Linked DNA regions of Oryctolagus cuniculus. The protein of the gene in region 2 purifies or fractionates together with the protein of the main gene of each other region. This does not show direct contact. Links are inferred from orthologs where the notes say so. Each region holds a gene or a part of one and is shown on either strand. Other genes may lie near its edges. The genes, in order: SNTB1, DMD and SNTB2.

What was found.
Region 1: the proteins of DMD (region 2) and SNTB1 purify together in Homo sapiens (co-immunoprecipitation; 4 studies listed by BioGRID and IntAct, counting the BioPlex papers as one, with this or other methods). This does not show direct contact. The link is inferred for Oryctolagus cuniculus from reciprocal best matches to the Homo sapiens genes DMD and SNTB1.
Region 3: the proteins of DMD (region 2) and SNTB2 purify together in Homo sapiens (co-immunoprecipitation; 4 studies listed by BioGRID and IntAct, counting the BioPlex papers as one, with this or other methods). This does not show direct contact. The link is inferred for Oryctolagus cuniculus from reciprocal best matches to the Homo sapiens genes DMD and SNTB2.

The regions. Positions count from the first base shown.
Region 1 is NC_091437.1:146,576,801-146,587,394, reverse strand, and holds the start of SNTB1 (beta-1-syntrophin), read left to right. Parts: upstream 1-3,612; 5' UTR 3,613-3,833; coding exon 3,834-4,410; intron 4,411-10,594. UniProt on the Homo sapiens protein: Adapter protein that binds to and probably organizes the subcellular localization of a variety of membrane proteins. May link various receptors to the actin cytoskeleton and the dystrophin glycoprotein complex.
Region 2 is NC_091453.1:19,805,806-19,816,633, reverse strand, and holds the start of DMD (dystrophin), read left to right. Parts: upstream 1-5,589; 5' UTR 5,590-6,375; coding exon 6,376-6,406; intron 6,407-10,828. UniProt on the Homo sapiens protein: Anchors the extracellular matrix to the cytoskeleton via F-actin. Ligand for dystroglycan.
Region 3 is NC_091449.1:52,275,721-52,286,442, forward strand, and holds the start of SNTB2 (beta-2-syntrophin), read left to right. Parts: upstream 1-3,754; 5' UTR 3,755-3,806; coding exon 3,807-4,377; intron 4,378-10,722. UniProt on the Homo sapiens protein: Adapter protein that binds to and probably organizes the subcellular localization of a variety of membrane proteins. May link various receptors to the actin cytoskeleton and the dystrophin glycoprotein complex.

The DNA.
Region 1 (10,594 bases), on a different chromosome or scaffold from region 2:
CAGGCACAGCAGCAGCCACTGGGGAGTGAACAAGCAGATGGAAGTACTCTCCGTCTCTCTCTAACTCCACCTTTCAAATAAGTCAATGCATCTTTGTAAAAAGTGCTCAATTATTTTCTTAAGGAAATAATATCAAAAGTACAATGATCATATTTCTAAACCTAAATATTGGAGCATGTGTTCTAATCAGTAGCCATTTCTTTTGTCAGTATGTACACAACAGAACTTTGTAGATGAACAGGTGAACACTATTCTTTCTACTACACCAACCAACATGCTCTTATGAATCTAAGTCCTGTCCATTCTGTAGGAAAAAGCACATCTCGGGGGTGGGGAGGGAGGGGCGAGGAGCAAAAGGATATGACTTTGGATAGGAGGGTATTGGGAGACAAAATTTAGGACAGAAAGAGGAAATATAACAGGTGGTAGAGCTAAATGGAAGAAACCTGATAAAAAGGGAGGTTTGGGTATACTTTCTGATATGCTAAAGTTGGACTGGTTTTGGGGATAACCTCAATGTGGAATTGCCAAGGATTTTACTATGTGGCCTGGGTCCTTCATTGCTCCACTCTGAGTTTAAAATAATTTCAAATAAAATGAAATAAATAAAATTTTTAAAAATCCAACAAATCTCCTAAGCTCACAAGATCACAATAGTCACCAATTTTGGTATACTAATATGTCTAAAGAAACAAAAAAGATGTGTCCAGTATGGAGGTCTGGGTGCTCTCTAACCTTGGATGAAAGGTTTTGAATACTCTCACCACAAAGAAATGATAAATATACCATGTGATGGATGTACTAGTACCCTGCTTTGTTCATTACATAATAATGCATCAATCCAATAACATTGTACTCCACAAATATGTACAATTATTAAGTGTCAACTTAAAAAAAAAGGAAAGCCCACAGACCACAGCTGGTTCTACCATTCTACCTATGACCCAGCGAAGGGAGCTTTAATGTCTGTTTCCCCATAAGAAGGCTGGGCTTAGTGCACAGATGAACACAGGCACTGTAGCTAATAGGCTTTGAGTATTTTCAAGAGACTATGAGACAGTGATTAAAGAGTTCAGATCCCTCATACCTATTTTCAAATCCTGACTCTGCCATTTATGAATTTCTTAACTGGGACAAGTTATTAAGCCTGTACCTCTACTTCTTCATCTGTGAAATGGGAAAGAATATAATTGTAAGTACTCCCAAGAATTGCCTGGAGGATTGAGTTACAATATATGTAAAGCACTTAGAACAGAGGCTGTAATTACCCTCCATTGGCAAAGCTATGCCTGGCTAACATGCATGCCTCAGGCCTAATTATATTAAATATTTATCTCCCCTCATTCTGATACAACTTGCAATAAACAACATACTCCTCTCCACATAGGTTTTCTCACACAGAAAAAAAAAATTGTGCTTTTCACAGAGATTCTAGAAATACCATCCTAAAGCCTGCAATTTCTTAATAATCTTTTTTAAAAATTTATTTATTTATTTATTTATTTGGACAGGCAGAGTGGACAGTGAGAGAGAGAGAGAGAGAGAGAGAGAGAGAGAAAGGTCTTCCTTTTCCATTGGTTCACCCCCCAATGGCCACCACGGCCGGCGCACTGCGCTGATCCACAGCCAGGAGCCAGGTGCTTCTCCTGGTCTCCCATGCGGGTGCAGGGCCCAAGGACTGGGGCCACAGCAGAGAGCTGGACAGGAAGAGGAGCAACCGGGACAGAATCTGGCACCCTGACCGGGACTAGAACCCTGTGTGCCGTTGCTGCAGGCAGAGGATTAGCCTATTGAGCTGCGGCACCAGCCGAGCTTGCAATTTCTTATAGTGAATTGATAAACTAGCTGTGGTTGTATCTTGGCCTCCCACATTGCTTGGCCACAGAAAAAAACACAGGCAGGTTGTTGATGTAGGGTTTCTGGTCCAAGGGCAGATCGGTTTTGATTTCTCAATCTTCACCCAGGTCTTCTGCTCTCTATCTCAACCTCAGTGTATCTGGGTTAGGATGCAGACACTCTATAGCCCCTGAAGAGTGAGGCTCCTGAGTCCTCAGCTTCTACAGCAGAGGGCCAGCCCCAGGTGGCTTTTTCTCAAAACAGTTATGCCAGCCATGCTAGCTCCCTGTCTGGTCCTGCACCTCACAAAAGGCTCAAAAGTCCCAGGAGCTGCCATCCCTGATGTGGGCACCTTTACATAAAGGCATAAAGTGCTTTTAGAAGTTGATGAGCTAAAAATAATACAAGGGCATGGGGGAGAGCGGTAAGTGGAAGCATTAATCCAAGGGCTCTGCCCAATCTGCAAAAAAATGTTCAGGTGTTTTCAGTTCCTTCTGTGGCCCTCGCTGGAACTCCACTCTCTAGGAATTCATCTGAGTTTTTAAGCATCCCTGATTAAAAGTGTGAGGGCTAAGAACTTTCAATGATAAGACACATCAGGTGTTCAGGAAGAGTTCTCTCCTTCTGACGCCTTGCTGTGTTGCCTTTACCTTCAGGGATTAATAAATTTGTGAATATTGTTTTGTTTTTGGAGAGAGTGGAAAGAAGAGTGGGAAGGGAGTGTAGCTAAGAAGGGCTTTGAATGGACCCTGAGACCACTGGTTCAGTGTGTGTGTTGGGGGAGGCAGTGGAAAACCTGAAAAGTTCAAGGGCAGGGGAACTCCGGAACATCCACCTATGGCATGGACTATGTTGGCATTTCCGGATTGGCCAGGAAAGGTATCCAAAAAACTAACACTGTTACCCTGAAAAAATGCAACACGAGATGCAAATAAGTAACAAGCAAAGGAACCCTGCAGATGCAAGATACTCCATCTGAGTTCTTGAATAGGAGAGCTCTTGTATGGTGTCTCAAGAAGGAGAAAGCAACATGAAGCATTCAGTGTGGGACTGTGGCTGGAGAGACAGGTCAGAAGCACAGAGCACGTAATGAATTCCAGCTGGAAGAACGTTTGTCCCTGGGGTCCAGGCAGGCTGTGACCTGTTGAAAACCCCAGGCCAAAGGAGAAACCGCTCCAGAGCCCGAGTAGAACAGATGTGTTGCATTGAAGAAGAGGGTTAGACACGTGGGTTACGCGCTTTATTCTAGGACCGCGGGGGCAGCTTTCCTTGTTGACCCTGGGATCGCCCAGGCCCTCGGTCTGCGCCTACCTAGCTTCCCGAGAGTCCCTTTGAAAGGAGGGACAGGTAAGCACTGAGTGAAGCGCTGGTTTGGGGAGACCAGGGACCAAGGAACAATTCTACCCGCCGGGTGCGAAAGGGAAAGGGATAGGGAGGATCTACTTGGATAAACCCAGGCAGGACGCCCACGGTAAAGGAAAGGGGGCTGCGGCGAGTGGAGAGACGTGAGACGCAGAAGGCGCTGGGGTGGCCGTCCCCGGGTGCCCAGGTCTGGCGGGGTGTGGCGGCGAGTGACCGCTGCGGCTGCTGGAACAGGTGAGCGGCGGCAGGGTGCGCGGTCCCCGCCCTTCCCGGAGCGTGCGGCGCCCTACGGACTCCAGCCAGCGCCTAGCTGTTCCGCGGCTCCCCTTGGCGAGGGGTTTTGCAACTAGCAGCTGGCTGCCTTTTTTTTTCCCTCCCCTGTCTAGGTCTCTCCTTCTTCTTTTAGGTTGCTCCACCCCGCCCAGGATCAGGCGAGGGGGAACAAGCCAGCCCCGCTGCGGCTGCCAACCCGCGCCCAGTGCGCCTGCGAACTCCCGGAGCGGAGTCCCGCGCGCCGCCGCGTCTGCACCGGGCGCGCTCTGCTCTCTGCCCCGGACCCCGCGTCCTGCTCCCCGCAACCCTTCCCCACTTTTCCCCCTTTTGCAATCACATGGCGTTTTAAGAATGCCGGAAAGATGGCGGTAGCGGCGGCGGCGGCGGCGGCGGCGGCTGGGCCGGCAGGCGGGGGAAGCGGCCGGGCTCAGCGGAGCGGGCTGCTGGAAGTTTTGGTGCGGGATCGCTGGCACAAAGTTCTGGTGAACTTGAGCGAAGACGCCCTGGTTCTGAGCTGCGAGGAGGGCGCTGCGGCGTACAACGGCATCGGGGCAGCCACCAATGGCTCGTTCTGCAGGGGTGCCGGGGCCGGGCACCAGGGCGCGGGCGGCGCGCAGCCCCCGGACTCGCCCGCCGGGGTCCGCACGGCCTTCACCGACCTCCCGGAGCAGGTGCCCGAGTCCATCTCGAACCAGAAGCGCGGCGTGAAGGTGCTGAAGCAGGAGTTGGGCGGTTTGGGCATTAGCATTAAGGGGGGCAAAGAGAACAAGATGCCCATCCTCATCAGCAAGATCTTCAAGGGGCTGGCGGCGGACCAGACCCAAGCTCTGTACGTGGGCGACGCCATCCTATCGGTGAACGGAGCCGACCTGCGGGATGCTACCCACGACGAGGCGGTGCAGGCTCTGAAGCGCGCAGGCAAGGAGGTGCTGCTGGAAGGTAAGGGGTTAACGCCGCGCTGGCCGCACGCACCTGCGGGTTTTCCCACCCGCACCCCAGGGACCCGGCCCTGTGCGTGCAGGTGAAGGCGGCGGCGGCTCTTGGGATTTTTGACAACTTTTACCCAGCTTGGGGCAACGTGCCCCTCCCAAGGGGGGTGCACGGAAAGACAGGCGAGCGGGGTTTCAGGGCCAAAAGGTATGCTTAGTGTGCGATGTTTCCTTTTCGTCTGCGGATAATCCAAGTGTAGTGGAAGGGGCTTTGAGGTGTTGGGAGCGTCGCGGAGCGGATCCGCTCGGTGGTAGCAATGCAGTTTTCTGTTCTGCACAGTTTCCCACTCCGAAGCCTGCGCTAGCCCGCTGACAGGACTGAATCATGGAGGAGCAGGAGAGAGCGAGCAATATTTCAATGCCAAAACTCCGGTCCATCCTTCTCTATTTCCCGCCTGCAGTTTGGAGAGCGGGCATTGTGCCCGGGGAGTTGTGCCAAGGGCTAAGAGATGTGTTGCAATTTTAGGCAAAAGTTCACTTCCCCTGCCGGGTGTTTGGCCGGTCAGTCTGGATTCCTGGCTCCTCTGGGTGCGGAGCTGGAGCTGGGTGAAGTGGTTTTTCTGCCTGCATTTTCTGGAGCTTTTTCAGAAAGGTGTGGAAACAAATTTGCCCTTTGGAAACAGTTTCCCCTGAGCGCAAGGACTTTTTAGAAACTATCTTCTGTGGTCTGATGCCTCTCATTCCTTCGTCACCGAGTGTGAATAGAAGAAATAGCGATTTGTACCGATTCTGGAGCATGTGGCATTATGCAGGAGAAGAGAGCAGTGAGATAGTACACTGAGCACATGTTCTTTGCTGTAGCTGCGTTTCTCATTTGCTACCTGCTTTTCCTCCCGCTCTGCGTGCCTCTGCCGGCACTGACGCCACAATGTAGTTTGTCCACTTATCCAAGGCCCCCTTTACCTTACAGAGTGAATCGTCCAGAGTCCCTCACTTAGTTAAAGGTCTGTCCTGAGCTTGGGTATCCGATGACACGCATACCTTGTGAGTGAAGAAAGGAACTTGGCTATGAAGCAATATTCAAACCAAGACTTGGTGAAATGGCATCGATTTAAGTTCTAAACTCGGGACGTAAGTCAGGGTGCTGGGTGTGTGAATCTGAGAAACTTCAGAGTTGGGAAACCAACTTTGCACTGTGTGTGACAATTCAAGCAACTCCCTAATGTGTGAAGTCCCACCTCTTGGCCTAGAAGACAGAGGGCTTCTTTTCTCCCCCTTATTTGTCTAGAGGATCTGTGATGTCTTTATATTTAATTACCACCCTGGATCCAGAAACTGGAAGTCTGTTTGCTTTGGCTTGATGATTAACATAAGTAAACAACAAAGTTTTTTTTTGATTCAACTGTGTGTTGCTTTGTGTGAGGGGACAGGTGGGATCTGCAGCAAGTGTAGCTTGTACTCTAAACTGTTGGGCAGTTCTTCAATTTGCAAATACTTACTGTGAATACTGGGGGAAGGTGCAAAAGCCAGGCTATTTTAATTTTAGAATATCTTGTATGTTGTCCCTTTTTCTTTCACTGCCAAGTCATTATTCATTAAATTGAAACCAAAGAGGTTAAAAACAAAACAAACTCCCATCCAAAAAGAGGAAGAAAATGTGACTCCCTGTGGTTGAAAATAAACCTAGAGAAGCAAAACACAAACAAAAATCGGTAGCAACTGAAAAGGGAGTTGTGTGAAAATCTCTAACAGGACATTCTTAAGTTTTGTTATGTTGCAGGCAATACTTCAGGATCAAGACCTGTGGGCTTCCTAGACAGGAACCAACCTGTGCCCAGTGCTGCATCTTATCCCCAGTGAGAGTTTTCCGAAATCTAATAAGAGGAGCCAGGGGAGGTCCTGCATAAAGCAATCTCCTGTTAATGAGCTAGTGTTGGTCCTGGGTGCTATGGCAGCAGTCACACACCGTGAGGTCAAATGCAAATGAAATCCTCTCTTCTGCGGCTTGGCCTAGTGCAGAGTCCCAGTTGATGTGACTTGTTAGAACCAACTCAAGGGGTTTTGAAAGTCCCTTCCATTCTTCCTCCTGTTCAGACATGCAGTGTTCATTCCAGAATTTCTACATAGAAGAGGCTTTGGGAATGTAATCTGGTTAGACATGGTGGCTGAGGGAGATATTTTAAAGATATTTTGTGGCAAATTTACAGTTTTTAATAGGTTGCTTTTCTGTTTGTCTTTTGAGGGAGTTGAAGATTAGTACCCCAACCTCTATGACTATGCACCTCATTCCATGACGTGTGCCCTCTAGTGGGGAGTTCCTGCTTCCACCTGTGGAACACCCTGAAAACTGAAACCCTCAACTGGCGAATTTCGCTGCCTAAATGCTAATCCTTGGTTCAGGAACAGAATTTATCATAACCTCTCTGAGCCTGAGTCTTCATCTGAAAAATGAGAATAAGGAAACCTATTAGAACAGCTAACTTGGGGCCGGTGCCGTGGCTCACTTGGTTAATCCTTCGCCTGTGGCACCCGCATCCCACATGAGCGCCAGGTTCTAGTCCCAGTTGCTCCTCTTCCAGTCCAGCTCTCTGCTGTGGCCCGGGAGTGCAGTGGAGGATGGCCCAAGTGCTTGGGCCCCTGCACCCGCATGGGAGACCAGGAGGAAGCACCTGGCTCCTGGCTTCAGATCGGCGCAGCGCCAGCCATAGCAGCCATTTGGGGAGTGAACCAATGGAAGGAAGACCTTTCTCTGTCTCTCTCTGTCTATAACTCTACCTGTCAAATAAAAATAAAAAATTTAAAAAATTAAAAGAACAGCTGTGGGGAGCAGCTCGGACTAGACTAAGTTACTGGAATTAAGACTTATTCTATGCATCTGCTCTCCCACAATAAGGCGCTGGGAGAGGAGAAAACAGCTTCTACCCAGCTGCCTCCAGTTCAGCCAATAAACAGCAGGACCTGCTCCTGATTGGAGGAGAGCAGCGTACTCGGCGTGTGGGCAGCCAAGTTGGGATTGGCAGAGGAGGACTATAAAGGAGGAGAGAGACGGCATGCACCAGGGAACATCTAAGGGGAACATCTAAGGGGAACACCTGTGCAGCCCCCCAGAGAACCGGCCGGCGGTGTGCCGCTCCCCTGCGGAAGTGGGGAATGTGGCCAGGGGGAACTGCCCTTCCACGGAGGTGGAAGGGACAGTAGCCAACCCGGGAAGAACCAGCAGCAAACCCGGGGAGGGCCGAGCAGACGAAAGAACAGCGCAGGGTCCTGTGTCGTTCCTCCACGAAGAGGGGGAGCGACAAACAGCCAACTTTACAGAGCCACTCCGTGAAAGAGCACTAAGAATAAAAGGCCTGTTCCCAATGCCTGCTGCGAGTTATTTTTACAACTCAAGTGATATGATGGAGTTGCCTCTTCTACAGGATAAATCCTCTCTTCCTTTACTGATCTTTTTTATTCAACTCTTTATAATAAAATTTTAATTCTGGGATATCATCCCTTTGGGGCCACAGGAGTTAAAATAGCATCTTGGGAAAGAGTCATAAAAATAGCTAACATTTCTTGAGCACTTAATATGTGCCAGGCTTTATGGCAGGTGTTCATGTTATATTTATTGTACCTCTGAGGCCAGTAATAGTGTTGTTCCTTTTACTGATTAGGAAATTAATGTTTATAGACATCGGATTATCTGCATGGAGTAAGTGGGGAGAAGGTTTCCAGATCTGATTTAAAAGCACGTACTTTTAACCTTTACCTTTGTGCTTCTGTGTGGATCTGTATGCCTGAGCCAGTTGAAGTCACAGTGCAAGGCATCCTCCTCCACACCTCAGATCCTCTGAAGTGCTTAGTTCAACGCTGAGCAGGAAACGGCGACCATGTGAACTATTTAGAAGGGTGGGACAGGAAGTAGGATATAGTCTTCAAAACCTAGTGCACTAAGTCTCTAGCTGTCGGAAGGAAGTGGCTGATCTGACCCAGCTCTATGTTGAGACCCATGGCCAGCAAGGAGACAAAACTGTAACTCAAACTTGACTAGAATATTTGGCATACCTTATGTATTACTTAAGATCAGAGATGTTCACACTAAGAACTCATTTCTCATCTTAGGTAGGGAGTGGGGTCAGGGACCCTGGATTCAGCCAAACAGGTCCTGGACCCCATAGTCTCATGGGCACCGTTTATGTAGACTCCAGTGTGAAGGCCTGTGCTGGAGCTGGGCAGGGCATGTGTGCACGTACTGCCTTGGCAGGTCTAGGAGAGGGAGGAGTTCTCAGTCCATGAATTAATGGTAAATTCATAATTGAAATAGGTCAACGTATTTACAACTGACACTGCAAGAAAATGACCTTCCCCGTAACTTTGGAGATTGGGAATGTGGAGGTGGAAGTAGAAACGGCCATGCTTGGATCCCCGAGGTGTCTGGTGGAACTAACTGCAATAAATGGAAACTCAAAGCAGAGAGTCAAGGAGACATGTTGACACGTACCCAGTCCATCAGAGATCACCTCCCCACCCCCTACCTTTTCCCAGCTTCACTTTCACAATAGCATTCATTCTCTGGAGGTGGAAGTTGGGAATGGTGGAGCCAGGAGGTGGTTTGCAAGGGAGGGCCAGTGATTTACTGCCATGAAATCTAGGGATTGGAGGAGAAGTTGAACTTCCAGAGATCTTGTTAGGATTGAAGAGATTTTTAAAAAATACCCACAGATCCAGGAATTAAAGTCTTGAAACATGGGTTCTTCTAACAGTTTCACTTTTTTCAAGGTTCTTTATCTCTTTGGGTCTTAGTTTTCTTCACTGAAAATCCAGGGAGCTAGTTCAACCATCTCTAAATCTTGTTCTGTATTAAAGCCTCTGAATTCAGATACAGTGAACACTTTTATTCACAAATTTGTTGCACTCTTTGTTATTGTAAAGCATGTTTCATAAATAAGTTAGTCTAATTGATTTTTTTAAAAAATCAATATAATTCCCTAATAGTAATATAAAAAGGAAGGGAAAGAGTTTAAGTGTTTCAGTGGATAAAGACAGGGACACTACCATACCAGAGATCAGTTTCTGTTCACAACAAGAGTGAATTTTAAAGTCGGAATTCAGTGAGCTACACTCCAGTCAGCAGGGGGCCGCTTCCTCTCTGGAGGCCCCAGGAGAGACTGTCTCCTCACTTTCTCTGGAAGCTTGTGGGCTTTCCCACTTGCATTGGCTCACCGTCCTCTCCCATCTGTAAAGCCTGCCATGGTGACTTGAGTCCTTCTCGGGTCCAGTCGCTCCCACTTCCCTTCTGCCTTCTTTGTGATTGTGTTGGTCACACCTAATGTGAACCAGGATCATCTTCGTATTTTAAGGTTGACTGATTAGGAACCTTACTTCCATCATCAACCCTAATTCTGCTCTATTAGGGAACATATTCATAGGACCTGTAAGCTATAAAGTGGGCACTTTATGCCTACCAAACCAGATTTGCTGAAGTTATGGGAAGAAAGTTTCTCAGTAGATCTTTGAGAACAAACTGAATCTCTGTAAATACTCACTGCCCCTCACATCACAGAATAGTTCATTCACTTACATATTTATTCACGTCACATATTTATTCATATCATGTCTGTTACATCTTTCATGTCCCGTGCACCACTAAGGCATTGCCCTCGGGAAGCAACCTCCTAGTGACAAGCACAGGTGCTGTGCAGATATGCCTGCAGGAGAGAGCAAAAAAAGGATGCATCAGGTGCATTAGAGCTGTGGCCACCATAGGAAGAGCACCTGGTCTGTTTCTGGACAGGACTTAGAGAGGCAAGTACCTCATGGCAACCCAAAAAGGTATGTGAGCATCAGGTGTAGCTCAGCATGGCTAAGGGGGCAGAACATGGCTTTCAGCCCTTGCAGAAGGGAAAGGGAAGAGAGCAGAAACCTGAGAATGGAGCAGCGACCAGGCCTTGTGGGGCTTGTTTCAGAGCTGGGTTGCTTGCAGTGTTTTAAGCAGGAAAGGGTTGTGCTCAGTTTGACATGTCAGGGAGGTAACTCTCCAGAGGCACCATACATCTCTATCCCATGGTGGGCAAGGCTCTAATGAAGAGATCCAGCATCCTGGGCTCACCCAGTAGCCCCGATGTTTATCTCCTCACACTGAATTATACTTTGCACCTTCCCAAGCAAGGCATAGGTTTGTAAAGTGGCTTTGCTCACATTATGACTTCATC
Region 2 (10,828 bases):
TCTGTGTCTGTCACATGGGTGGCAGGGCCCCAAGTACTTGGGTCATCTTCTACTGCCTTCCCAGGTGCATTAGCAAGGATCTAGGTTGGAAGTGAAGCAGCCAAGACTCGAACAGACACTCAACGTGGGATACTAGTGTTGCAAGGAGTGGCTTAACTGGCTGTGTGATAACATCAGTCCCCAGTCTATACTTTTAATGCAATTCTTACTCAAATATCAGCAGGATGTTTTTTGTCTGTATGAGGAATGACCAAATTGCCTAAATCCAACCTGTTTTATTGTTTCTGGCCTCTGTGCAATAAACTACCATATTTTCACATTGGACTTATCTAAAGAGTATTCTCTTTTTTAAGATTTGTTTTTTTTTTTTTTTGTTTTTTTGTTTTGTTTTGTTTTGTTTGTTTTTTTGTTTTTTTTTGACAGGCAGGAGTGGACAGTGAGAGAGACAGACAGAGAGAAAGGTCTTCCTTTTGCCGTTGGTTCAGGCAGAAGTACAGAGAAAAGAGGAGAGACAGAGAGAGAAAGAGGGAGATATCTTCCATCCACTGTTTTACTCCCCAAATAGCCTCAACAGCCAAGGCTGGCGCCAGGCTGAAACCAGAATTTGAGCAGCCGGACCTCGAATCCGTGTCCATACTGAATGCCGGCTTTGCAGTCGGAGGCTTAATCTACCACGTCACAATGCCAGCCCAAACCTGTGAAATGTATGCCTTTATACAACATCTAACATTTCAAGCAACATGAATCACTATGGAGAAGGGAAACAGAAATGATCCAAAGTGATTTTCTCAAATCAATACATTTATGAAATGTATATAACTGTAGCTATCAAGACTTTATTCCCAGCGTATTTATTCAGTAGAGCTGTATTAATCATAATGCTTGAAACTGTGCTTAATGGTTAAATAAGTTGGGAAAATGATATAGTCCTTCCAAATTGACAAAAAGTAATGCTTTTAGGGTGTTTAATTACTTAACAGATTCACTCCTCATTCACTCTTAAATTTACCATATTCCGTTCTTTCTAAGTGTATGCCATAAGTTTTGTGATACACAGATTAATAGTTAATATTAGAGTATAAGCAGGGATGAGTCTTCATTTTACAACATGTGTCATAAAGCTATATGGTAACAAAGTATTTTTAAAATGCTGACATGTGTTTTCATAGTAATAAAATATGCTTTGCATTCTTCAAATAAAAGGTCTGTTTAATTCATATGCAAACAATTATAATCATATTTTAAATTATTTTAAAAGCATATACATATGTTCCATGTTCATTTTCAAGCATTTTTAAAACTGTTATTTTTAAAAACTGGCTTTAGAATGTCTGCTGTTTTTCTTTTCTTTGTGTAATCACATGCAAACAGGCAGTAATAGCATTATCAATACATTAGAAATGTAAAATTATAGTATAATAATGATGCAAAGCACTGTTCAAAAGCACAGTGTGATTTGTACAATTAGATGATCCAAATATTGGAAATATATACTGTCATAATAGAAGACTTATTGTGACAAAAATGTCAATTCTGTGGAAATTGAACTATCAGTTCAATGCAATGCCTATCAAAAGGTTACAGAAATATTCTGTAGATTTGCAGTTATTTGTAGATAAGCTTATTCTAAAATTTATGTAGTAAGACACAGGACCTGAAATTTCTAAAACAATTTTGAACATGAATAATGACTAAGAAGGAACAATAATATCTCTATCCCAATGCGGAGGTTTACATTATAGCTGTGTAGTTAAGGTGGTGTGGTTTTGGTAGAGGGGTGGACACATAAATCAATAGGAGAGAACCATTGTCGCAGAAATAGACTCGCAGGAATTTTCCCATTTGATTTTTGGCGAGGTTTCAAAATTAATTCCATGGAGGAAGGACAGTGTTTTCAATAAGTGGTACTGGGGCAACCAAATATCTAGACTAAAAAATCATCAAGTTAGATCCCACACCTTATAAAATTAGCTCAAAATGAATCCAATTAAAATGTAAATAGAAAGTGATAAAAATGTTAGAAGAGGGGCTGGCGCTGTGGCCTAGCAAGTAAAGCCGCTGATTGCAGTGCTGGCATCCCATATGGGTGCCAGTTCGAGTCCCTGCTGTTCCACTTCTGATCCAGCTCTCTGCTGTAGCCTGGAAAAGCAGTGGAAGATGGCCCAAGCCCTTGGGCCCCTGCACCTGCTTGGGAGACCTGGAAGAAGCTCCTGGCTCCTGGCTTCGAATCGGCACAGCTCCAGCCTTTGCAACCATCTGGGGAGTGAACCAGCGGATGGAAGACCTCTCTCTCTCTCTCTCTCTGCCTCTCCTTCTGTCTCTATGTAACTCTGCCTTTCAAATAAAATAAATAAATATTTTTTAAAAATGTTAGAAGAAAAAAATAGAGAAAATGTTCATGGCTTAAGGCTTGATTGAGTTCTTCAACTGAAATCTCACAGTGTATCCCATAGTAACTTTAAAATAAAATACATGCTATACAAAATGTATATCAAAATTTGAAAACAATTCTTAGACCTGACACCAAAATCATTGTCCATAAAGGAAAAAAATTGAATGATTTGAATAAATTTGATATTTTTGCCTTATAAATATCCTTTTTAAAGGATGTAAAGACCTGTTACAGACTGGGAGAAAATATTTGACAACCATGTATGTAACATAAGAATCATATCTAAATTATATAAAGCACTCTCATAACTCATTGGTTAAAAAAAAAACAAACAATGCAGTTAGAAAATGAACAATACATATGAACAGATTTCACTGAAGAAAATATTCAGGAAGAAGGAAATAGGAAGTTAACAATCAATGGGAGTAAAATCTCACCTAAGCAAGCTGAGTAAATTCTAGAACTCTGCTGTACAATATTACATCTGTATTCAATAACATTGGATGTACACTTAAAAACTGTTAGAGGGTATAGCCATAATAACATTTTATTGCAATAAAATAAAATTATTAAAATAATATATTAAGATAGCAAATAAACCATGTTTAATGCCAGTACTCATTAGGGAAATTCAAATGAAGGCCATGGTGATTTAACCCTACATGCTTAAGGCTAAAACAGAAATATAAAAGTGAGAACATCAAATGCTGATGAGAGGGTAGGCATTTGACCTAATGACTAAGACACTATGTGACATATTTCAGGGCCCAGGTGATACCTAGCTCCACACCTGACTCCATTTTCCTTCTAGTATGGACCCTGGAAGGCAGCAATGATGGCTTAAGTAGTTGGATATGAGAGACCTGGATTGAGTTCCCCACTCTGGGCTTTGGCTCCTGGCCCAGGGGCCAATGGATATATTTGAGTGAACTAGTGGATTGGGGAGTTTGTTCTTTCTCTCATAAATAAATACTTTTCAAGTGCTGGCAAGGATGTTAAGAAATTGGATCACACAAACATTGCCAGTAGAAATGTAAAATGGTAGAGTCACATTTGAAAGTGTTCTGTCGGTTTCTAAAAAAAAACTAAATATATACTTCCCATAAGGCCTAGTAGTAATACTCTTGAGCATTAGTTTAGATAGATGGGAACAAAAACCTGTACATTATTATTTTTGAGCTTTATTTGTAGTAACCATAACCTAGAAAAAAGTAAAATGTCCTACAATAGATGATAAAACTTTCATAGAATGGAATGTATGATAAACCATAATAATACTAAGCAAAACAAATCAATCTAAAAAGGTAATATGCTGAATAATTCCATTTATCTAACAATTTTGAAATGATAAGCTTATAGTGGTAGAGAACAAATTTGTGAATTGAATGTCAGCATTTAGGACAATTGGTAAGGGTTGTTAGTGTGACTTAAAGGGTTTGCATGAGGACTGTCTTATGGTAATGGAACAGTTGTCTACTTGACTGAGATTGTGGCTACACAAATCTGTACTTGTGAAACTATTATTTATATATATATATGCATATATATAATATTAATGTCAACTTGCTAGTTTTAATATTGTATTACAGTTATGTAGGACGTAGTCTTTGGGAAAAACAGGGGGGAGGTACATAGGACCTCTATACAATCTTAGCAACTGCCTAGGAATCTGTAATTATTTCAAAATAAAAATGAATTTTTCACAGTCCTTCTCTGCCAGTAGTTCAAAACAGGAACTTGAGCAAGCTCCTTGACCAGTCATCTTTATAATGGAGCTCCTAAGACCTAACTGATTTCATTATTGTGATGAGTAAATGAGAGAAATAAATGACAAAAGCCACAGAAAATAGTGACAAGGTCTGTACAGGAGTTCACTGTATTTGGGTTAAATGTTTTCTTATATGCCTTTCTCTTTAAAACCTTAAGGAAGGTATATGTATTCCACACTATGCAGAAGTTATTACAGATGCCAAATAAATTCTGATTACTGAATAAGAATAAAAGATAGTTAAAATGTATCAGGCATTCAAAAGCTTTCTTTACCCAGGGCACATTTTTGGTATATTTGGAACTACAGTTATTTTTAGAAACATATGCTTCAGGGTTTCTCAAAGTTGATGAAGCATTAGAGTCACCTGTAAGACACAGAGTGTTGGCTCATACACCAACAGTTTCTGATTTTCCGGGACTTGGGTATACTTGCTTTCTTTAAAGTTCACATGTGATACAGAATAGCCTAGTTTGTGAACTCAAGAACTATACATATGCCTTGTCTAAACATGAGTTTATAGAAAACTCAAAGTACAAGATGTAAAAGAACTTATACTCTGGACAACATTGTCCGTGAAAGTTCAGGGAGATACTTATGCTAATGAGCAGATATGAATCCAAATCAGCCCCAAAACATTTTTTTTCATTTTGTTTTAAGAAACTTTTGCTTATATGCATATCTCTACACTAAGGAGAGAAAATGAGATGGCCCATGGAAATGGTGTTTTTAATCTATTTTTAATCATAGTGATTTACATAAAATTACCTACAATTAAAATTAGACTTCATGTTTTACTTTATATAGAATTTGACAGGCAAAATGGCAGTATTATAATGATGGCATCCTAAATATAAAATTTATAATTGACTATTAATATAAACATTATTGTCTGATTCAATGTGTCATTTTTATATTTATCCTTTATTTATTTCTGTGCCAAGCAATTGAAAGCTTGACATAGAAAAATGAGTCTGTCACTTTAACAAATGGTACTATAAAAACACTCAAACAAATAGTTTTAGTAGGGATTATTATGATAGCAACACGAATATTTTTCTAGAAAGTGTTACCAATGTTTCCTATAAATGTTGGGCTCAGTTGATAAATAAAAATAGTAAGGAAGAAGATGAAGTCTTCCTTTGGCAGTGAATGATTTACAAACATGCTGGATGACACATTGTATTGGATACAGGCAAAAAAAAGGCTCTGTTGAGAAGCATTAAGTGATCATTAGTTAAATGCGTAAGAGAATGATGTTTTAATAATTTGCACCAAAGAAATTTAACAAGGAGTCATTTGTTAGTAAAGAATTCTTATCATAACCACAATTAAAATGCAGCATTTTAAAAGCGGTTTTGTTCCCTTCTAAGTGCTCTTTATTTTAGCAGAAAACTTGTTCCATGAGACTAACACACATTCTGCCTTCAGAACTTAGCTGCTACATTCTGCTGTTGCTTCTCTTATTCAGACTGTTGCAATCATCCATATACAACTTTTGATTGGATCCTGATGGTAAAAATTAACTTTGGTAGACAGTGGATACATAATGAATGCATAGATCATTCTGGGCATACCGTTGTATTCAGTAGAGTGAAGTTTTGGGGGTTCTTGGAGGGGAGAAAGAAAATCATTTAAAAGTTCATTCTGGATCAGAATTTTCAGCTCTGTTGTTTTAGAAATTTATGTAATGTTCTAGAAAATATTGTTATGGTTTGTTACTGAAGGCTTTTTGTCTTCAGAAGGCTTTGAGAGCAAGTACTTTATCCACTGTGCTATTCTGGTTGGATACTGATCACAACACAGTTGAGCATTATTTGAATTCACTGGGCTTTCCATGCTGGGAGCACAACCTTATATGTAGTGTCCATGGGCAGTCCTATTATGGGAAACCAACTTGAGAGAAAAGGCGGGTCACTTGCTTGTGCGCAGGTCCTGGAATGTGAAATATCCAAGGGCCTCTACAGAATCCTGGCATCAGTTACTGCGTTGACTCACTCAGTGTTGGGATCACTCACTTTCTCCTTACAGACTCAGAACTTGGAGGCAATTGCCTTCAGAGAAAAACAAATAGGAAAAACTGAAGTGTTATTTTTTTTGAAAGCTGCTGAAGTTTATTGGCTTCTCGTCATTCCTAAGCCTACTGGAGCAATAAAGTTTGAAGAAATTTTTACCAAGATTTTTATCACAGCCTTGATATATACTTTTTTTCCAAATGCTTTGGTGGGAAGAAGTAGAGGACTGTTGTAAGTACAAAGTAACTAAAAATATCTCTTACTGTGGTGTAACTTTTTGTTTGTGATAATCTCAATGATTAAGCAGGTTGATTTTAAATTATGGCAGCTGCTCGTGAATAATCTTAAATGTTCTATATACTGTATATATATGTATATATACTAAGGTGTATGTACTTCCCATTGGGAAAACTTTCAATAAGAAATGAGGTATATTTGGGTTTTTTTCAATATAGGCAAAAACATCTTTCTTCTTTAAGAAATCACTAGATTAACAGAAAATGTATAACAGGTCTGGAGTATTAGTACAGAGCAGTTGATTTCTGTGAAATAGTTTCTATATATATGAGTTATTATTTTGATTATTTAATACTTGTGTATTTAGTGGTGGTTCCATGTAGAGTAGTGACCTGACATATATTCTCAGTGAATTAACTGCTTTGTTGGAATGATATACAGGCCTAAAGATTAGAATAATGTTATGTGGCATACCTTGGTGGGGGGACAAAGAACAAAATTGCGTTGTGATGGATAAATGACAGATGCGAAAATATTGATAAAGGTTTAATTTCCTTTCTCACATTATATTTAGTGTTTTGAATTCTTTTTTATAGCATGAGAGATTTTTTTTTTTTTCAAATAAGTATGTGATCTACACTGGCAAATGACCAGTCTCTTGATGAGAAAACAACATAAAAACTTGAGGGATGTCTCATCATATTTTGTAGAAAACTGATCGTGTTGTTTCATGACTGTTGTGACCAACTAATTCAGTAAATATTTTTATTAACTTCTTAAAAAAAGAAACTATTTTGTTTATGTTTAAGAAAGTCATGATGACTAATGAAGAATTTAAAAATTAACTATGGCACAACAGTAAAAATGATATATAAGGACACTGTGTCCCAAAGAGGTGGTTGAAGGAGATTATCTTTTTCTTTTCCTGCCTTGACATGTGAATTATGGTCATTCTGAAATAGATATGAAGGTAATGTCTATAATTAACAATGAAAGATTAAATCTCTCCAAATAAGTAATAATATATCACAACTTCTACAAAAAGAGTCAGAAGTTTTGCCACAGAAAATTTGTGAAGTAAATAAGCACCATTCATTTCTTAATTCACATTAGATGGTACTAGATTTCATTAATATGACTTTTTTCATATTGTGTCCTTCAAAAATTTCTGTGGTGAGCATCAGCATCACTTCCTGATTGAAAAACTATTCCATCTAGTAGCATTACAAAAATACACATAGCTACACATGTATACAAATGCATATTTCCCTTGCTATTTCTAGTTCTTTCATATCATTAATCTATCAATATTGTCAAACTTATGATTGATTATCTATAGCTAATAAAATTAAAATACACCAATACATAGAGATATTTGGAAAGTATCACAAATATGCAATTCTGGAATGAAGTAAGATAAATCTATACTCTTCTTTGTCATAGATATTCAAATAACTTTTTAATACATTAGAATTTGAAAAGTTGACCTTAAAAAAAATGCTCCAAAAGGAGCATTTTAAAAACAGCAAGTAATACCTTTGCAACCTGACAATGAGTTTAAGAGAAAATAGAAATATTATCAGGGTTATATTATACATTAATTTTTCTATTTGACAACATGCTATTATTTGAGTGTTTAAACATTTGAATCCACGTTGTAAAATTGCCTTAGTATGAAAAACTTAAAAGAGCACATTTGATTGCTTTTTGACCAAAGTAATGGCCCTTTAAGAATATCACTGTAGTAATACACATATTGTTTGCTTTTAGAATTACTCAAATAATCCATTGGAAACAACTGCTCAAATAATTAATTGCAAATAGACATTTCATTTGAATTTTTAAATGATGCAAAGCATCATGAGATGTAATAAAATCACCTTTTAAAATTTCATTTGCAAAGCCCTCTTAGGGCATTTAACTATGAAAAAGAGGTTGCTGAACTGAATTGATAACATAGTTTTTAAGATAATAATCTTTTGGTGTCTCTTACATGGCATAACATTTTGGAAAATACAATAGAGCATGTTATTTAGATGTTACTCTTTTTTTAAAGGATGACCAACTGAGTTTTGCAAATTTAAGAAAAAAAAATTCTAGTTTGGACAGAGCTATCAATACAGCTTCCTCTTTAGTACTGTAGTATTTATTTGAAATCCTTGTAGTCCACCATATGCTACATGTGAACAAATTGTCAAGTTCTTAACTACTTATGTGATTTAATAAAATAGATTAAAATCTTTGTCTTGGAAAGTCAAGTGCTTTTTAAAATTCTATTTTATCTTTCATCAAGACTTTATCTAAACAGTAAAACAGACTGATATCCTAACCTCTCCCTCAACTTCCAACTTCTACTGTAATATTTTTACTTATTAAAAATAATTTTTCATGTTTTCATCAAACTATTCTTTATTTCACATCTACAAGTTATGTGTGAGTGTGGTGTGAGTATATGTGTTTATATATATGTAAATGCACACAATTTTAAACCACAAAGTTCTAAGTTTCAGAGGCTGAACAATGATTGGAAATTTCTTTCTTTTTAAAAAAAAAATCTATTTACTTATTTGAAAGGCAGAGTGACAGAGAGAAGGAGAGACAGAGAAAGAAAGATACCTTCCATCCACTGGTTCACTCCCTAAAGATCTGCAACTGCCAGGTGTGGGCCAGACCAAAGCCAGGAGCTAGAAACCCCATCCTGCTTTCCTACATCCCAGGTGCATGAGCAGGGAGGTGAATCTGAAGCGAAGCAGCCAGGACTAGAAACTGCACTCCAGTATGGAATGCTGAGGGCACAAGCAGTGGCTTAACCCACTGCACCACAACTCTGGCCCCTAGAAATTGATCTATCTTTAAGGGTAATTTTCTTTTCATGTTTTGGTGATTTTTTTTATGTTAAAGACACATCATTTTTAAATAAATTGACAAATAATGCTAATATATGTCCTCTGTCCAATAGAACATAATTAATCAAGAAGGAACAAATACAGGACTTGGCGGGGGTGAGATTATACAATTTGGAGGGGGATGAGCTGTTTTAAGAAAAATAATAAATAAATTATGAATAGCAAATCAGCTAGGGCCTTGGGAAGGGCCCACATAATTAAAACTTTAATAGTTTCATGGGAAATCACCTATGTTTGAAGAGACTCATGGAGTAAATCTTTTCCCAGTTACATTTTAAAATAAAATTAATACTAGTTATATTTCTTTAAAGCATATATTATTTCTCAAAGACAACCTTTTATTTAATGCAGATTAGAGAGTTGAAAGAATTTATAATGATAGGAATTTGACATTTCTGCCTTTCATTATGAAAATATACATTGATTAAAGTGATGTCAAACTCAGTTAATGGAGGCGGTGCAGTTATTTGAGATATACAGGGTATGCAATTTGAAGCCAAGCCAAATCACAATGACAAGGAATAATGATGACCTTGGTTTATTTTTATACAGCACATTCAGGTTTTGATTGGATTCAGAGAGAGGCAATGGTTTTCTTTCTCACACTGTTCTGCTGTCGTCCTCGGAGGTTTGTATTCTGTTATCAAGGCAGTTGGTTCATATTGGAACATTTTTTTGGGAAGGTCATAGGACACAGTATGGAAAAAAGACATTCACTGAAACCAAGTTCAATATTAGAATTTATGAAAATGTTTCTCTTTGAGTAGTATGTTCTACACAGAATACTGTTCTTCAAAAAACAGAAAAAGAAGCAAACATAAACTTTGTGGCCTTTACTGCCCCACTTAAAACAGCCATGAAACTTCTTTGCTTTTCATGCTATAAAATATAAACACATGTTTGGAGTTCCAAAGTTTTATTTTAATGGCAGATATGGAAGTTAAAATGGCAGCATCATAATGTAGTTTACTCTTTTGCCTACTTTAGAGGGGTTTGTCCATTTAAATTCCATATAGTATTGTCCCTAAAATCTTTCTAAAATTTCAAGCACCCTCTATTTAATATTAAAAGTGAACAAGCCTTGCAGACAATCTGATATCCCCTTTTGAATGGGAGAATCTCTGTGGTGTATAACCCCTATGCAAAATATAATTACCACATTAACAACTAATATGAGTTTGCTTACTTAAAATTATATAAAAGATTTATTTTCTTCCAATGTTACTGCATATTATAATATTCAATGTGCTTTCATAAACCAGATGGCTTCTCCAGAGATTCTTAACTACTTCAACACCCAGGGCCTGGTCTTTCTTTTTCCTCATTCAGTATTACTGACCTGAACCTGGAAGTGAGAGAGAGACCTAACCAAACAAAACTAAAACCTGGAATCTGGTGCTTTAAGGGTATCTGACATTTCTCCACAACAGTTTTGAAAGGCAGCAAACAGATGAGAATGAAGAAAAATGTCCCAGATGGTTCATGTTTGAAAGAGTCATCCACCTGATAA
Region 3 (10,722 bases), on a different chromosome or scaffold from region 2:
CTGCCTGTTCTGAGAAATAGATAACAGCTTGATCAGAGGAGAATAGATACTGATAGGTGACAGGAATGAAGTTATTTGGAATTATCTCAACCACTTCCTTTTTTTAGAGGTAGATAAAGTAACATGCCTGTTTAACGAATTATCTGGGCTTGTCTCACTGTCCTTAAGAAACCATGGAAACAGATGTATACTCTTTTTGTTTCAGATTTCATTATCCACAGTAAGTAGATTTCCACGAACTCCTTGAGATTTCCTGGATGGCAATTTTCACTCTGCGAGAAACCAATAACTTTCAGAGGGATTACTTGAAAAGACTACAATGCAAGAAGCACTGAATTTCAATCCATCACTTGTCTAATGAATTCTTTCTCTGCAAGGCAATATTTTTAGAATAGTGGGGAATAAAAATAAGTTGATGGGTGGTCCCTGCCCTGCTATAATTTATAATCTCTTTGGGCAAACCAACCAGGCATATAATTAAATTAGTCAAAGAAAAAATACTAGCCAATTGGGTGGTCAGGATTGGTGGGAAGGGAGTCTAAGGGGCAGGAGGTATTTGAAAGGAAGAACCTTGGCCGGCGCTGCGCTCAATAGGCTAACCCTCCGCCTGCGGTGCTGGCACACCAGATTCTGTCCCGGTTGCCCCTCTTCCAGGCCAGCTCTCTGCTGTGGCCAGGGAGTGCATTGGAGGGTGGCCCAGGTCCTTGGGCCTTGCACTGGCATGGGAGACCAGGAGAAACACCTGGCTCCTGGCTTAGGATCAGTGCGATGCGCCAGCCACGGCAGCCATTAGAGGGTGAACCAACGGCAAAGGAAGACCTTTCTCTCTGTCTCTCTCTCTGTCCACTCTGCCTGTCAAAAAAAAAAAAAAAAAAGTATTATACTTAACAGGCTCTTCATATTAAAAAGAAACAATGGGAAAGGAAGGACCAGGCCACTGGGAGACACTGGGTGAATTTGATTAATCCTGAAGTATTGATGAGAATGTTGAAAAGTTCATTTCGGTCCTGAGGAAGGGCCTTATAAATGTAGCTTGATAATTTGGATTTTTTAAAAACTATTTATTTATTTATTTGAAAGGCAGAGATACAGAGAGAGGAAAGAGAAGAAAGGAAGAAAAGGAGAGAGAGAGAGAATCTTTCAACCCCTGGTTCATTCTCCAAATGGCTGCAATTGCCAGGACTGGGCCAAATTGGAGCCAGAAGCCAGGAACTTCTTCCAGGTCTTCCGCATGGGAACAAGGGCCCAAACACTTGGGCCGTCTTCCGCTACTTTCCTAGATGCATTAGCAGGGAGCTAGCTGGCTAAGAAGTAGAGAAGCTGAGTTTCAAACCAACACTAATATGAGATACCAGCATTATTGGTGGTGACTTTACCTGCCATACTACAACACCAGGCCCTAGTTGGGGATTTTTTTTTTAATGGAAATAATCCAAATACCGATCTCCATTACCTTCTCCTAGGATTAAATATTTTGTTACATAACTTGCTTTCTTAAGTAAGTACTCTCACTTACTATTGGTTGGAAGATCTGTAACTTCCTTCAACTCTATTAACAAAAAGGTCTTAATACTCTAAAAATTTCCAGTACTTCCTTTTGCTAATAAAGGTGTCCTCAAATGTGCAACCTTTGGGTGATTACATATGCAGAGGTGTTAAAAATAACGCTCAAACTCCAAAGAATGCACTGCCAAATGCTCTCTAATAAGCAAAAATTTCCCATAACTCAGGTCTCCTGGGGCTCATGCCTCCGCTGGCGCACAGCCAGAAATGTCTGTGACTGCAGGTGCACTTGGGCACGCCGGGACCTCTAGAACAGTGAGCTGACTCCAGTGCCGCTGATTTAGGAGAGGGCTGGAAGGTTGAGCTTTTGCTGACATTTGCAACTTGGAAAAGCCTGCTCCACTAATTGCAGTGGAGATTCTGTCATCATGATTTCTTTGGTAAGGTACTTTTCTCATCTTTAATTCTTCATCTGGACTCTGGATGCTTCCGAGTCTCTATTTATACTGTTTAACTCCTGGTGCAGGAAGCTCTTTGTAAGCTTCTGCTTGCACATGCACGTGCACTTGCAGAATGATGCATGGCTATGGCCTACGAGCCTCAACGTGTACATCCTGAACAAGCAAGAAACCAATGCCCTTTACAGGGACGGCTGCACACTGCTGTTCTCACAGCCTGTTGCTGCCTAAATGAGAGTAGGGATTTTGCTTTTGCTGCTGAAGGAAAGTTAAAGAACATCTTGACCTCATAAATTTCCCGAGAGTTTCCGATTTCAGCAGTGTGTTTCTGGGCCCTCAGAGTCCAAAGTTTGCATTACAGTTCCTGAGGCTGCCCATCTGTACTTGCCCCAACACGAGACCATGGCCTCTAGGATAGGACAGTCCCCTCTACAAAGTCAGGTCCAAATTCCTGGATATTTGATATGAGGCTTTTCACATTCAAATCCAGACACACCCACTGAGCCTGTGCTCTCTTCACATTGGAATTCTGTCATCTTCCTGAGTACCCATGTGCGATGATTACGTTTATGTGTCAACTTGACTGAGCTAAGGGATGCCTGGATGGCTGGCGGAACATTATTTCTGGGTGTGTCTGTGTGGGTGTTTCTGGAACAGATTAGTGTGTGAGTGCTGAACTGAATAAAGATTCCCCTTAGCAATGTGGGCAGGTATCCTCCAATCAGGTGAGGGCCTGAACAGAACAGAGGGAGGGTGCATGCACACTGCCGGAGCTGGGGCTTGCTTAGTTCCTCACGGTTTCCTGCCCCTATTTCTTAGACCAACACTGAAACCACACCTCCAGGCCCCACCCCGTTCTGGGGGCCTGCCGTCTCAGCCTTACAGCATTGGTTTCCAGGTGCTCAGTGGTGGGATTGGAACCGCACCATCAACTTCCCTGGGGCTCTAGTTTGCAGTGGCAGATCCTGGTACTCGGGGTCGCCGTCTAGGGACAGTTCCTCAGGATGAATCTCTAGTGTGTCTGTATATCCTACTGAAGTGTTGCTCTGGAGAAGCCTGGCTGATACATTGTGCAAACATCTTTGAAGCCCGCCTGGTATGGCCCCAGGACTTAAGAAGACAGCGTCCCCCTCTAATTACAGGCAAGAAAACGGGTGATTACGAAGCAGGGTGACACCGTCTTGGAATCATGCCTCTAGACCATGCATATGCTGTTCCATCTGCTCCAGCTATCACCCTCCATTGTCAGCCTCTGTGATGCGGACCCCGGGACCAAACGGAGGCCCTTTTTAGTCTGCTCCGGGGGAGTTTTCTATACATCACTTAACCACATAGTATCACAGCTCGTTGGGTTGGCTCTGCATTTTCCTTCCCCACCAGACCGCAAGCTTCAGGTGTGGTATATTTGATTCAGCTTATGGCCAGCGCCACAGAAGGGGCCCGAGTGCACAGCTCACACGAACAGAGTAAACCAGAGCAAGAATGAACGTGCCACTTAGTCTGGCAGGCTTGCAAGGTGCTTCTCCAAGCTGCTTTTACTTTCTGTGCCTACGCAGCTCCCGTGCATTGCGCGGGAGAGGTCAGCAGTTTGGGGGCCTGTAGGGAACGCAATGGGAGGAGAGTGTGAGATGGAGCCTCCCCTACCCCCCACCGGGGGCTACCCACGTCCCAGGAGCTGTAAGGCGCAGGACAGCCTCTTAACCTCCCGGAAGCCGCTCCGCCGGCCTCGCCCCGCCCCGCCCGGGAGGTGGGCGTGTCCCTCATGAATAATGCATCGCCGCGGGGGAGGGGCCGGGCCCGCCCCCTCGGGCGGGAAGGGGGAAGCGCTGAGGCTGCCTGACTGGAATGAGGGTAGCTGCGGCGGCGGGAGCGGGGCCGGCCATGGCGGTGTGGACGCGGGCCACTAAAGCGGGGCTGGTGGAGCTGCTCCTGAGGGAGCGCTGGGTCCGAGTGGTGGCCGAGCTGAGCGGGGAGAGCCTGAGCCTGACCGGTGACGCCGCGGGAGCCGACCCCGAGCCCGCTCTGGGGCCGGCAGCGGCCGCCTTCAACGGCCTCCCGAACGGCGGCGGCGCCGGCGACTCGCTGCCTGGGAGCCCGAGCCGCGGCCTGGGGTCCCCGAGCCCGCCGGCGCCGCCGCGGAGCCCCGCGGGCGAGGCGGGCGCGTCGCCGCCCGTGCGCCGGGTGCGGGTGGTGAAGCAGGAGGCGGGCGGCCTGGGCATCAGCATCAAGGGCGGCCGCGAGAACCGGATGCCGATCCTCATCTCCAAGATCTTCCCGGGGCTGGCGGCCGACCAGAGCCGGGCTCTGCGGCTGGGCGACGCCATCCTGTCGGTGAACGGCACGGACCTGCGCCAGGCCACCCACGACCAGGCCGTGCAGGCGCTGAAGCGCGCGGGCAAGGAGGTGCTGCTGGAGGGTGAGCGGGGCCGGCTGTCCGGGCGGGCGGGCGGGCGGGGGCGGCCTGGGCCCGGCCGGGCTGCGCCGTCCGGCGCTCACTTTGTTTCTGCCCCCTTGGCAAGGTTGACCCAGCCCCTCCTCCTATCCCTCGGAGCCGGTGTCCTGGGACTCTTGAGTGTCGAAAAGCTGATGCTGCTTGCAGGAAAAGTTGGGCCGGCCGCCGCCGACGTGTGGCTTGCAGCCCCTGGGCAGGACTACTCGGCGGAGATGGAGCCGAAGGCGGCGGCGCTAAGCTGGCGCTAAGAGCTGCGGCGGGACCCGACGCGGCGACTCCGCAGCTCTGCGTGTGTGCCCGCTCAGAAGTGCCGGCCTGGCGCTTTCGGCTCTCACCTCCGGGCTCCCCTGGGCGGGCGGGTCTATTAAAGAAATAAAAATAAAACCCAGCTCCATCGATGCCAGCAGTTGTGCTTGGGCAAGCCACCAAAACGTTAGTTAATTTATGGGAATTTAACCCATCGTTGGCTCTCAACAATAACCGGCGGAGATCACAGAACTCCATTGAAGCCGGAGAGCTGAAGCAGCAAGTCTTGTGTGGTTAATGAGCCTTGTTTAACCGTGGAGGCTCACGTGTTTCAACACTCACTGCCAACCAGAGTTTTGCCCCTTTTGCAAGAGAGCGCTGCCAGCTTCCTAGCGCTCACAGGCGTGCTGTTCCGAGACTATTAGGCTTTGTCGAAGCGACTTGAAATGGCAAAGCACAAAACAGCGTTTAAACAGTCTTCGGTCTGTGTGTGATCTATAGGTTGGAGCTTTTGATGATGCGTTTATGGAGCTAGGGCAGAATGAATTCTCTCCGGCTTCATGGATGTTGGACTTGGTATTTTTACACGAAATTGTAAATGAGAAGTCAGTTGCTTCCCTCAAAAATTGAACTGTTGATTCAGTCCTTGAGAAGCGTGTGTTGTTGACTGCGTGGAAGAGAGGAAAAATGACGTTCCTGTCCCTGTTTGGTCTCTGGTTGGGGAAATAATAGAAAAATGCTGAACTTTGGGGGAGAAAAAAAATCAACTTTTTAATTTTGTGGTGCAAACTATATAGGAATGCCACAGGAATGCGAAGTCAGCAGATCATTAATGGAAGTGCGATTGGTCAGGGAGGACCCTTTCAAGTGTCTGAGTTTTGCGCTGGGTCTCTGAGGAAGTGATGGACGTGTACTGGCAGAGATTAGTCAGGAGGATATATTTGGCAGTGTAAGAGAGCGGGGGAAGGCTGGGATGAGGGGGACCAGTCGACAAATCGAGTCTTAACTTTGGCAAAATGACTTTTGCTTTTTTACAGATCTGCTTGCAAAGATTTGGAAAAAATATTAAGTTTGCAAGTAAATGATTTAAAATGTGCTCTAGTTGTGAAATTCCAGTGTCCCACCTTTTTAATGCCCTATTTATAAATTTTATTTATATCTCATTTGGAGGTGGGGCTAGACACAGTTTGGAAATTCGAATTAATAAAAGGAGCAGAATGGTCGGTTGTGTGTAAAAAAATCATCCTAAATATGTATCTTAAAATGAGCCTAGCTAAGCATTTGGTTATAAATTCTTAGAACCACAATATTGAATTTAGTGCTATTTATGTAGTACTCACTGGAACTAGGCAAACAGTTCAACCTCTTACTCTGTATTGCAAAAACCAAAACAATGGTTTTTATTTAGATGTAGTTTGAACTTGAAATTCATACTAGTAAAATGAAAACCACTTAGTAAATTCTTCTCAGTATTCATTAGTCTAAACTAGGCTACATGTGGTTTTAGCAAGAGTGTTTATAGATTGCAGTATAATTAATATACTTATTAAATGCCTTTTCACCTAATATGTAGACTATTTTATTTTCCCATTTTGTATAAGACAAGCAGTTTCTGATGGAACAGAGACATAGCCCACCTAAGACATAAAAAGGCCCAGCCCCTAGGGTCTGGGCCCTCTGCCACGTGTTCAGTCTGTGTGTGCACTGGCAGTTGGTTGCCCACCTCTGCAGATTTGTTTTCTCTGAATAAATTCGGCCTGGCTGTGAGTTTGTATTCTGTCTCTTCTCTGTTTTTCTTACATTTGGGTGCCCTGTGTGAGGAGGCACCAATCTGCCCTCTTTTTCTTATAATTTCTGTCTCTAGGTATGGGGAAGTCAGTATGGTGGGTTTATGCTGAATTCTTAAACCAAGGCGTATAAAAATAGAATTACTCAAAATATGCAAAATCACACACAAACACAAACCATGGTTTGAGTGAATCAGTCAAACATTGTTTAAGTCTCAGAGCCGCTGTCCCATCCACGTGGGCTATTTTTAAGAGACAGATTTTATTCTTAGTCCTTCAAGTTTTTAAGCTCCACTCTCCTTCTGTTAGCTGCCTTAGAAGTCAGTGATGCCCTTTTGGGGTGTGGCAGGGCATTTCAGGCATGCTCTTGCCACCCCCATGCCAAGGACAGCTATGTAGTCTCTGTTTGCCTGGGGTGAGGGAACAGAGCTCAAGGGTTCTATTTTATCTCAGGGATTTGTAAGGATTGCTCACTCTTTCACTCTTTCATGTTTATTCAGCTTTCCTCACGGGCTAGAGACATTGCAGATACCGGATTCTTGCCCTCAGGAAGTTCAGAGTTGAAGGGGAGGGGTAAGAGGGAGAGAAGGCAGGGGCAGGTTGGTGGTGAGAGAATGCAGACAAATAAAGAACTGTTACAGTGAAGTCTGGAGAGGACACAGCATAAAGGAGGGGGAGGTGTATATGGGTTCTCGATGGGAGTAGCTCCTAGTGGGAGGTTGTGGGTGCCTGGAAGTTGAAGCTGAGCCTTCTCCTAAGAAGGGAGCAGTGGGTCCAGTAAAGACACAGAAGTGCAAGACACCGAGACGGTGCTGTATCCAGCAGGGGTCGAATAGGAGCCAGGGCTTTGTGGTCAGAAGCAGGTTTCTGGCCAGTGGTTTGTAACCCCTAGGCAAGTTACTTAATCTTGCTCAAGCTCAGCTTCCTCGAAATACCAGGATGGTGTTAATACCTCCCTCAAAGCGTTGTTACTCACTTGACAATGTATGTATCCAACAGCAGCAAGGAAAGTCTGGGTGAGGCAAGCAGCACTGGGTACACCCTAAATTAACAACAGGGCCCTGTCACAGAGCCCTGATAGCAAATCGTTTAAATAAAATCCAAGCCTCGTTTTAGTGAAAAGAAATGCATGCTAAAAATTGTTTTCTGTGAACAGGTTAAGAATGAGTTTGTATGTCTTAGGTGCAAGATTATGGCACCCAGGGCCGGCGCCGCGGCTCACTAGGCTAATCCTCCGCCTAGCGGCGCCGGCACACCGGGTTCTAGTCCCGGTCGGGGCGCCGGATTCTGTCCCGGTTGCCCCTCTTCCAGGCCAGCTCTCTGCTGTGGCCAGGGAGTGCAGTGGAGGATGGCCCAGGTGCTTGGGTCCTGCACCCCATGGGAGACCAGGAAAAGCACCTGGCTCCTGGCTCCTGCCATTGGATCAGCGCGGTGCGCCGGCCGCGGCGGCCATTGGAGGGTGAACCAACAGCAAAGGAAGACCTTTCTCTCTGTCTCTCTCTCTCTCTCACTGTCCACTCTGCCTGTCAAAAAAAAAAAAAAAAAAAAGATTATGGCACCCAATATTATTTAATTTTGTTTTCCTGTTTTTCTACTATTTCTTACATATACTGGTGTTTTTATTCCTTAATTTTGCATTTAGTTTCCTCTCCTTTATAGTTTTCACTTCCTTTCACATTTACTTCTCAGAACCTTAAAAGTTGTCATTAAGTATGCACTCACAGTTTGGGCTAGTACTTGTTAACATTGGTATTAGGTCATGCAGAATAAGTAGCCTTTCTATTAATAATGCAGATTGTTAGCATAAAGGGGTAATTCTGCTCATCTGTCAGATGTTATACATGGAATTTCTGTGTCCTTTTGTGTTATAAGTCCAAGAGATTTCTAGAATTTATATTTTTAAGGCCATGAAGCTGACTAAATAAATATGAGTTAGACTACGTGTTGAAAAGTTTTCCAGAGGAGGTTTGGGAAGATGGTATAAAGTATCCAGCTTGAGATCTGAGTAAAGATCCATACTTTTGAAGGAGTTGTCACTGGACTATTATTGGAAAGTCATAATAACTTTTTTTTTTCCTATATCCATTTTTTTCCCTCTGCGAGGCCTCGGTGATTTTTGTATTTGGAATGATTTGAGATTCTGAGTGTTTCATATAATGTGACCTTCTATGTCAGGAGACTTTAAACAAATATTACTGATATTATTAGGCTGCTAAGTTAAAGAAGCTGGTTTGGATTTCCACTGCTTCCCTTTCTTCATTGTATATTGAACTAGTTTCCTAGGGAAAACATTTAACATTTTCTTTGGCTTTATAGCCTGTCTCTTAAAGAGCAACTAAATTATTGACTGTTTGTGTTTTTGTGCTTCTCTTTTTTTTAATTAGCCTCTTTATGTTTCACTTGAATGATTAAACATGTTTATGAGAAGCTGCCTTTGTAACCAGATTCTTTTTTTTTTTTTTTTAATTTATTTGACAGAGTTATAGACAGTGAGAGAGACAGAGAGAAAGGTCTTCCTTCCCTTCCATTGATTCACCCCCCAAATGGCTGCTACGGCTGGCGCTGTGCCGACCCAAAGCTAGGAGCCAGGTGCTTCTTCCTGGTCTTCAATACGAGTGTAAGGGCCCAAGCACTTGGGTCATCCTCCACTGCACTCCCAGGCCACAGCAGAGAGCTGGACTGGAAGAGGAGCAACCAGTACTAGAATCCGGTGCCCATATGGGATGGCGGTGCTGCAGGCGGAGGATTAACCAAGTGAGCCACGGCTCCAGCCCCTGTAACCAGATTCTTACAGAGTCGCCTTGATGTTATGATATGCCCTCCAAGTTATTTCCAAAATATGAGAAGTTGATTGATTCTAATACACAGTAGCTGTGAACATTCTAAGAACACCTTTAGGAAACATACCCAGGCTTCAGCTGATGTATATTCATTCCCTGCCGTCTAGTCTTTCCCTTTCAAAAATTACTTTGTGATCAAGTATGTGTCTTGTTTATAAAAGACACATGTTCCTATGGCTATGGAACAGTTTTCTGGTGTTCTATGCTGACTATTCAAGGATTGTTTCCGGCTTGGTTTGCCCACTATCTTAACTGAACACCAAACAGCACTGCTTGTTTGCATTTGTCTTTTTAATTGACAAATAAAAATGTACATATTATGGAGTACCATGTAATGTTTTGGTATATGTATATGTTGTATAATTTCATACCAGGATAGGCATATCTGTCTCCTCATTTATCATTTCTTTGTGGTAAAAACGTTCCAAATTCTTTTGTCTAGCCTTTTTGAAACATGATACATTATTATCTGTATGCATTTCTGTGAGTGTTTTCTCACTAGATCTATATGCAGTCCTTTGAGATAGGTTGTTTATCTTTGTTGTGCAGATATTTAAAATGAGTTCACTAAAGTTAAATGAATTACTGAAGGTCTCAGATTTTCTTTAATTCTTAGGAACAAGAGAAAATCTTTCATGAATCTTTAAAAGTTGTGAATTCTCACCCTATACATAAAGAATTAGCAACTAGAGAAGTTAAGAGACATGATTAAGACCACCTAACAGGGGCTGGCATTGTGGTATAGCAGGTAAAGCCACCACCTGAGATGCTAGAATCCCATACAGGCACCCATTCAAGTCCTGTGTGCTCCACTTCTGATTTAGCTCCCTGCTAATGCGCCTGGGAGAACAGCGGAAGATAGCCTAATCCTTGGGCCCTTGCACCCATGTGGGAGACTCGAATGAAGCTCCTGGCTCCTGACTTCAGTCTGGTACAATCCCAACCACTGCAACCTTTTGGGGAGTGAACCAATGGGTGGAAGATTCTCTGTGTGTGTGTCTTCTCTCTCTCTCTCTCTCTCTCTCTCTCTCTCTCTCTCTCTGTAACTCTGCCTTTCATATAAATAACTCTTAAAAAAAAAAAAAAAAGACCACCTGACAAATTAGTGGTGGAACTTGGATTAAAACCCAGTACAGTGCTTTCTTTCCTGTACCATGCCACCAACAACCAGTCAGTTAGATCTTTTAGCATCTCCTGTATCCCATCATGTTACAGTGCGCTGTGGGAGGTCATTGTGCAAAGGAAATTGAAGATGAGCCCTCATATCCAAGAATTTAGAGTGAAATGTGGAACATAAAGAATAATTGTAAAACATGTCGGACTCTGCAAGAATTCTCTGAAGGGAATGTTTCACTAGGGGGATAGAAGAGGTGAAGTATGACTTCATGGAGATAGCAGAATCTGATCTGAGGCCTTGAAGATCAGGCTGCTTCTCT